2 linked regions of the Nothobranchius furzeri genome follow. The protein of the gene in region 2 binds, or shares a complex with, the protein of the main gene of each other region. Links are inferred from orthologs where the notes say so. Each region holds a gene or a part of one and is shown on either strand. Other genes may lie near its edges.

Region 1 (4,229 bases), on a different chromosome or scaffold from region 2:
CTCTGTGAGAACATGTTGACTCACCTTCCCGCTGTTCTTTGGGGAAATGAGGAAGGTCAGAATCCGGTCAATCAGATCAGAGTGGGTTCCTTTCTTTTCCAGATCCAGAACAGTGCAGACAACCTTCAGCTTGGTGTTGGTGAAGCTGGAGTTTCTGAAACGATACGCGGGATGTTTATGGAAGGATCTTGACTGAACCCTCAAACACAAACCATAAATTATATCTGCACATCTGGGAGCTAGGGACGAGTCCTGTGTCCAGGCCTGTGCTGATGTGTGGTGGTGTCTAAAGCCTCGCAGGCCAGGCCATGGTCCCAACCCAGGACCCGCATCATCGGTCTGAGCGAGACTGAATGTAAAAAGAGCAGCAAAGTGCTGCTTATTCCGTGTGTGTGTGTGTGTGTGTGTGTGCCAGACTGCTTGCTCTTTTTTTATAATTAAAACTCCAAACAAACATCTGGCTTTACAAACATTCATGTATCTGCTCAGCTTCACACCAAACACACGCGTGATCTCCAGCCTCTTTCTGGACCACTGGGATGGAAGCTTCATGCAGCTTCACCTGGCCATCACCAGTAGGTCCTATCCTTCAGTCGGGTCAGGCAGCTAACAGGAACTTACTTGAGAAGCTTTTCTCGTTTCTTGTTGTATTGCTCGCTGTCGACGTCAAAAGGGAAGCCGTTGAACAGCCGCAGGTTCTTCTTGAGTGTGGCCATCTGAGAGACAAAAAGCAGTTTCACGTTTGACTCTGGGGTGTTTCTATGAAGAACTCAAGACTGAAGCTGGTGCTTTTCCCCTTTGTTACTTCACATATTTTTCTGTGGGATTACTGAACATGAACACATGAATAACTCCCACCTGCAGCTGACACCTGCCTGTAAATAACTACTGAAAAGTGGTCATTGGGTACTTGATCAATCAGAATGGGGACTTTTCTGGTTGGAGATGAACAGGTGATTTTGGAGCTGTGCTCAGGTCAGTTTTCTGGGTTCGGTTCAGCTGTTTGTACCTTTCCCGGTCTGTCAAACAGGAGCATGTGCAGCTGTTTCAGATCCACCAGCTTCATCCTGGTGATCTGATGATTGGTTCGAGGGATGTCTCCTAGTTTATCTCCACTGCCTGCAAACACCAGATGTTAACCAGCTGTTGGTTTGTATTCATACACATCTAAACCTCTTTTGTTGCACACCATCTCCGATCTTCAACTTCTCTTTGGTTTTTGGCGCCTGGAGATCCAGTCTCTCCACAGTCTTCTTCACTCGCTTCCCTTCGATGATTTCACCCACAGCTGTAACGGAAAGAACATGTCAGCATGCTGAAGCTGTTCCAGACAAATAAACCTTTACAGAACCCAGAAAGGAACAACCCAACACGAGTGACAGTGCAATCAGACAACTCTCCTCACCAGACTTCTTGGAGCTATTTTTGTTTGGACTCGTCTCATCCTCCAGCACTGTCTCCTGCTGATCCTCAACGTCCTCCTCAGATCCCACGGAGCTGTCCATCGCTTCCTCCGCCGCGTCGCTCATGTCTGCACAGCTGCTTTGAGTCCCCGTTTAATTGATCCTGAAAGAACACACCAGGTTTATGATGCTATGCTTACAGCTAACTAAATAAGAGCAAAGCTCAGCTTTCAACTGCTCCTCCACTTGCAGAGTTACTCTGACACACCTGTCGCATCCACAGGTCTGTTCCACAAAGCTGAGTTAAAAGTCTAAGAAACCCTGGTTTTAGTAAAGGTCTGAGCCCAAATACGTCACCACATAAACTAAACCTGCCCGCCCCACTAAGAAAAGACAACATGAAAAGCTTCTCCTGTTCTTTAGACCACATGCAGTCAGACCTTTACTTCACTAGCAGACTGAAGTCAAACTTTTGTGGTGTGTAGTTCATGTGTTTTACATGTATTTGTTTAATTTAGTTTTATTGGTCTTTGTGTGGTTTTGTGGTGTACATCGCTGTGGTCAGCTCTCACGCTGTTTATTGTGCTTTTATAAATAAATTTGGTATGGTAATTGGTTTAATTCAGTAAAGGTTTCAGCTCATGTTGCCCAGGAGCATGAATTTGATTACAAACAGTCATGAAGACATGATCCGGTCTGTGGATCCAGAGTGAGTGTTCTGTCCGGTAGCTCCGGTGCCGAAGTGTGTTCAAGCTTCTGATAAGTCACTAGTCTGATAACGGATCACAGTTAACCAATGGATCACCAAAACCACGCTTTGTATTCTAAAAACAAGAAGGACGGATGGAGTCCGGTGCCTCTTATACACACGCGCGCGCACACACACACTTACTTAACCTCATGAGTTGATGTTGATATTAGCGGAAACGGTAACATGCAGCTGACTACTTTAATCTTTTTTATTTATTTCATGTGCACGCGGACAAGCGCGCGGAAACTATAGCTTTCAAACAACTTAGCCGATTAGTTAGCCGCGCCGAAAAACTGACCAATAAACTCAAAATACTACCTCACTTCCGCGTCAAGGCTGCGCCAATTGGTTAGTTAGCGGAAGTCATTCAGTCAAGCCATCGGTTTACCGGGCAATGTAAACGTTAAGTTTAAGCAGCGGAAAATATGCGCGGGGTTAGCCGCTGCAGCTAACACCACAGCTAGCTCCGACAAGATTCAACAGACCAAACAGCGACACGATGAGGCACAGCAAGTTCCGCTTTCATGCCCCCAAGCAAGCCGTCTACGGCGGGAAGAAAACGCAATAACTTTACCTGTTCCCGAAGAACCGAGCAAACAGAACCGCAACCCGCCTGTCACTCATGAGAGCGATATGCTATGTGGGCTGGGACTACAACGGCGCCCACGGTGCTGATTGGATGAGTGCTGCAGACGTCACGTTGTTGTCTCACTACCGGCCCCTACCGTTACTGGAATCGCTTTATGCTAAAACCAAGCCCCCACAATGGAGCTCTTTGTTTTTTTTTTTTTAACAAGTTTTATTTAACCAATGAAGCTTACAGGCTTACATAAGAATCAATATTTACAGATGAATTCTGAGCATGACAAAAAAAAGCAGGTGTACAAACAGAAACAATAATATTAACCTAGCTCAATATCAACCTGCAGAAGTCATAACCAAATAAATATATACATATATTACATCAAACAACATTATTAGGGGTAAAGGAAACATTCACCAAATTGTTATAGAGCCAAATGGCTTTCTTGGAACTACATAATTTAAGAGAATCCATGAAGGATGCAAGTTCTTTCAAAAAAACAATAAAGATCGGTTTGATATTGCCAAATTTACATTTGTGTATAAAGAATTTGGCGAAAATAATCAAATTATTGACAGTGAATTGCTGCATTTTATTTTCCAAACTAATAACATACTTGATGTCAGAAAAAGATAAGGAGCCGTCGTCGTCTTCCTCCGCTTATCCGGGTCCGGGTCGCGGGGGCAGCATCCCAATTAGGGAGCTCCAGGCCGTCCTCTCCCCGGCCTTGTCCACCAGCTCCTCCGGCAGGACCCCAAGGCGTTCCCGGACCAGATTGGAGATGTAACCTCTCCAACGTGTCCTGGGTCGACCCGGGGGCCTTCTGCCGGCAGGACATGCCCGAAACACCTCCCCGGGGAGGCGTCCAGGAGGCATCCTGACCAGATGCCCAAACCACCTCAACTGGCTCCTTTCGATCCGGAGGAGCAGCGGTTCTACTCCGAGTCCCTCCCGAATGTCCGAGCTCCTCACCCTATCTCTAAGGCTGAGCCCGGCCACCCTACGGAGGAAACTCATTTCGGCCGCTTGTATCCGCGATCTCGTTCTTTCGGTCATTACCCAAAGCTCATGACCATAGGTGAGGATTGGGACGTAGATCGACCGGTAAATCGAGAGCCTGGCTTTCTGGCTCAGCTCCCTCTTCCCCACGACAGATCGGCTCAGCGTCCGCATCACTGCAGATGCCGAACCAATCCGCCTGTCGAAGATAAGGAGCGTATAATGAAATTATTATGCGTTAACCACGAGTGAAAACTATCCCAGAAAATTTTGGTAAAGATGCATGTGAAAAATAAATGTATCTCAGTTTCTATATTAGAAGTGCAAAAGGCACAATCGTTCTCTCCAATATTAAATTTAGACAGCAAGAAATCTTTGCAAGGATAAATACTGTTTATAGTTTTAAAATAAACTTCCTTGGCATTAGGAGGGATTGGGAATTTGAGATAGTTGCATCTAATGTTTTTAACATCAGAATTACTAAATTGACGTA
Region 2 (4,307 bases):
TTGTCGATGATGGAGGCAAGTCGAGAAACAATCCACCTCCTCAGGTGGAAAACGGCGCTGTCCTTCCTGAAGGAGCATTAGAGTTAAAAGGTGTTTTTTCAGTCAGCTAAAGAAGCGGGCGTATAAACTCACTGCTCTCCACCCTCCTGCTTGCCCTTCTGCTTGCGGGTGCTGAAGTCCAGCAGCTCTTCCATCCGAGGCTGAAGAAACATTCCTTTAAGCCACTCCACGTAGCTCTGCAAGGCTGCAGGCTGAAGATGCTGCACCACCTTCCACACTGGCAACACCACAGGCAAACCCAAGTGGGTCAGCGAGGAGAAGCCCACCATGACCGCCAGCTGCTTGTCTGAGTCCTGACAGGCCTGCAGGAAGTCCAACACGTAGGTGTCCATCTCCGGGGCCAGCTTGAAGCGGCCCGGTTTCTGGAAAAGAAAAACAGCCATCCAGATCTACAGCTCACCAAGACCTCACTTGTTATTCCTCTGATTCGAGTGAAATCTAAAATTCACCCTGGAACTAACCTGAGATGCAAGAACGTGTTCTCCGTAGTGCATCATCACTTCTCCAGATAAGACCGTCTTCAGCTGGGACAACGACAGCAGAGGGAGGGCGCTTCCCAGCAGGCGGAAGCTCAGATAACTGAACAGAATCAACAATGGGAAGGCTGGATGTTAGAATAAAAATTCACTTGCAGGGAAGAACAAAGTCATACAAGAAAATAAAAACTACACTTTTCACATTTTAGAGCTTTGTTTCCACGTTTTGGGTCCGATTCATTCACATCCTCGTAATAAACTCACTGAGTCACTCCGAACGGCTCCCTGAACATTCCCTCTGTGATGGCTTTGTTCCAGAAGAGCTGGAAGCTGTCCTCCTTCAGAGAGAGCTTCAGGAGGTCCAGAGCAACGGCTGGTAGAGTTAACTCCTTCTTCACAGAGTGAGCTGCCATCTTTAACACCTCTATCAATCTGACAGATAAGGTTTTTAATGATAATAAGCAGGAGGAGACGGTTGAATGCGTATTTTGAGACCTGATTCCCGAATTCTCACTTTGGAATGTTGTCAGCGTTAATGATGGTGGAGGAGCCCAGCAGCTTCTTGAGTTTCTTCGGCTTGAGAGTTTGAGGGAAGCGCTGCAGCGCCACCAACAGCAGCTGCAGCTGCTCGGGAGTGTTGAAGGCTGACGCCAGGTCAGTCTGCAGGGCGCCCAGCAGGACCTCCTCGAACACCTCCTCTGGGATCTGAAGGCCAAGAGGGCAGCATGTGAGTGCGTTTTGAGGTTAAACTGATACAAAGTGGAAAGCTGCAACCAGGACGCAGCGGTCACCTCAGTGAGGATGTCCACCATGGTTTTACTGGGCAGGTCCTTCAGGTGCTGCTTGTGCTGAGTCAGACTCTGGAGGAGCGTCACACATCCCAACACCACCTGTGGCTCCTGCAGAGATCAGAGCTGCTATAAGTGTTTTTGACTCTTTAGAATGTTAACCTTAAAAAACAAAAAAAAAAAAAACTCCCAACTCACTTCAGCGAGACGTCCAGACTGATGAAGAGCGAGGACGCCAAACAAGTTTCCGAACATCGCATTTCTGGCAAGTTTCTATGAAACAACGTGATTTTGGTGAGTGGAAACGCCCGTTAGTGAAGTTCCTGATGCCAAAGGAGTCCTGAGCATCTAAACTCACCTTCTTCACAGCCTGTATGTTGTGTTTCTCTTTGATTCTGTTCAGTATACTCTGCAGGGAGACGTCCTTAAAGGCACTCAAGACCTGAAAGAGGAAACTTATCGCTTAATTTGAAACATTGAAGTTTTTTGATTTCTACAAACTGGTGAACTTTAAAGTTGAATCGACCAATCAAGCGGGCTGGCGGTGCCCTCACCTGTCCCAGAGCCAGGCTGAACCCAGGCCTGGCTGTCTCCCGGGTGTGGGACAGTCCGTCCACCAGACGTTTAAACGTGTAATCCAGTTCATCGGCCTGCAGGACAGAAACAACATCCGTAAAACTTTCTACACACCACTGAGACTGGGAACATTTAGACATCACTACTCTCAGAAGAGCCCCAGGCCAGCTGTGGCTACATGGTAGCTCATCCCTACCAGTGTGTAAATGTGTGATTGTGCTGTGAAGCGTCTTGGGGGCGCTATACAAATACAGGCCATTTAAAACTCATGTCTTTATCTTTGAGTATAAATGACTTGATGAACATTTTATTTTTGTTTTGATATACCGGTATTAAACTTGCACTTTGCTTTATACTTTATTTTTATATTTAATTAACGCCTTCTACTTTGTTGTGAACTTTTAGCTGATTGTTAAACACTAGTGAAATTGTTTTTAACAGAAACTAATTTAGTCCGTTAAAACTTGATTTTCTTTGAGTTATTGTCCAATTATGAAGAAAAAGTTTTTTAAACCAAAACGTAGGCGATTTTATTAAGAAATTGACAATTTAGTCAGTGATATAATCATTTGAATCTAAAAACTTTTATTCTGATTTACTAAAACTTTAACTTCAGAGGACATAATGCATCTGAGTCTGGATCGTGTCCAGGCAGTTTCTCACCTTGTTTTCTGTTTTCAGGTACTGGATCAGGTTCTCCACGGCCTTCAGTCGGACCTCCTGATCCGGTTTAGCTAAATCCCAGAAGAAGTCGAGGAAGACCCGGTTCTGCTGTAAAACCCCGGCCGGTCGCAGCGGCTCCGCTGCCTTCACCAACAGTTCCACCATCTCTACAGACATCTGCTCTCAGAACCACCTCTGATCAACATGCTGCTACGGGAGGAAAACGTGTTTCCACAGACACAAACCACTTCCGGGTCAATTCAGATGAGGGTTGCTCTTTAGCGATAGGCCGGCGCAAGACTCGGATTTCATCGTTAAAGAATGCTGCCCAGTAGTTGCACCTCCACGTGCGCCGGTGACAACATGATGTAAACCCCCATTTTTTTGTTCTTTCAATAAACTTTGTTTTGATCATCAGCGTTTTTTGTGGGAAGGTGGAACAGTCTAAACCAGGGCCAGATCCATATCCATGGAAACTTCTTGATGTTGAGGGTTTTTCTGACTGTATCTTTTTTTTTCAGTTAAAATCTAAGTGAAAGCTACTGAAGCTTATTTAGGAAAGAGCATTCTCAGGGTTTAATCTTGTTTTTCTAACAAAGACCTCAATAAGCGCCTCCTGAATTTTATCTTGAGAGGTACTATAACTAATGTTTCTTATTCAATTGGCAAAAACTAAATCCAGACTTTAATATGAATTTAGTGACAATTAACCCATGCTACTTTTAAATCACTTTTTATTTAATTATTCAGTAAGTAAATTCTTTCTCTTTAAGCATTTACTCGTTTTGTGATATGATGCTGTGACAAGAGCGTTCACTTTGGTATTGTAGACCATCTTCATTACCGTGTTTTTGGTTTCCTAACTTTAAATCAAACCACACACATCCACAACACATTTCATCTTTGCATAAAAATGTATTCTTTATTAAAACTGCATGCATAACCCGTTGCTTCCTGCACAAATTAATGAGCAGAAAAGGGAAACTGGATGTTGACAAAAACATGACACATCACAATCACATGGTGGCTCTTTGTGCATTCTTTCACTCGATCCGAGCAGTGAGCACAGTGTCCAGAGCGCTCTGAGCATCTTTTATCTGCTGCTGCAGTCTCTGCTTCATAGCCTCGTTCTGGGCTTTTTTCAGCATGTCCTGCATGTCTTTGATAGCAGCCTGGTAGCCTGGCGCATTATGAAACACTCTGATAGCCTTGTCGCCGCTGCACACCAAGAAGCGGCTGTTAATGTCAAACCTGAGGTCGGAGATGTTTTCACTGTGGACACCGTGCAGTTCCTTCTCCAGATTCCCAGTGGCAGCATCGTACATCGCTATGTTACAACCATTGCTGATGGCCACAACACGGCCATCAGGGGACAAAGCCACTCTGCTGCCTTCGGAGGAGGAGCAAGGGACCGTCTTCAGGAGGTAAGGATCCTGCTGCTTTTTGTACTCTACATCTGTGTTCCACAGCTTCCACGTTCCATCTTTAGAGACGGTGACCATCCTGATCGATAAAAGAAAGAAAAACAAATCAGTTATATTAAAGTGTCGTAGATAATCTGTGTGTTTTTTCCATTTAGCAGAGTGATTGCTTCAGATATCAAACATAGGAACTGGATCTCACTGATGAATTTCAAGCTTCATTGTGCAAACAGAACTAACGATTTAACACCCACTGTGTCCTCATCAGATGACACCCTTGGTGTTGAATCATTAGTTCTGTTTGCACAATGAAGCTGGAAATT

What was found. Proteins that work in one complex are often made in the same cells at the same time.
Region 1: mybbp1a (region 2) and dek share a complex: the UniProt entries of both Homo sapiens proteins name them as parts of the B-WICH complex. The link is inferred for Nothobranchius furzeri from reciprocal best matches to the Homo sapiens genes MYBBP1A and DEK.

Annotation. Positions count from the first base shown.
Region 1 is NC_091745.1:58,973,580-58,977,808, forward strand, and holds the start of dek (protein DEK), read right to left. Parts: upstream 2,841-4,229; 5' UTR 2,729-2,840; intron 2,587-2,728; exon of another isoform or gene 2,473-2,586; intron 2,418-2,472; exon of another isoform or gene 2,296-2,417; intron 1,567-2,295; 5' UTR 1,530-1,566; coding exon 1,406-1,529; intron 1,289-1,405; coding exon 1,190-1,288; intron 1,120-1,189; coding exon 1,010-1,119; intron 717-1,009; coding exon 622-716; intron 155-621; coding exon 25-154; intron 1-24. UniProt on the Homo sapiens protein: Involved in chromatin organization.
Region 2 is NC_091750.1:52,603,317-52,607,623, forward strand, and holds the start of mybbp1a (myb-binding protein 1A-like protein), read right to left. Parts: upstream 2,817-4,307; 5' UTR 2,741-2,816; coding exon 2,564-2,740; intron 1,975-2,563; coding exon 1,879-1,974; intron 1,767-1,878; coding exon 1,683-1,766; intron 1,598-1,682; coding exon 1,523-1,597; intron 1,436-1,522; coding exon 1,328-1,435; intron 1,242-1,327; coding exon 1,051-1,241; intron 969-1,050; coding exon 801-968; intron 640-800; coding exon 522-639; intron 423-521; coding exon 133-422; intron 67-132; coding exon 1-66. Other genes in the region: tbl2 (transducin beta-like protein 2), read right to left, coding at 3,607-4,066. UniProt on the Homo sapiens protein: May activate or repress transcription via interactions with sequence specific DNA-binding proteins. Repression may be mediated at least in part by histone deacetylase activity (HDAC activity).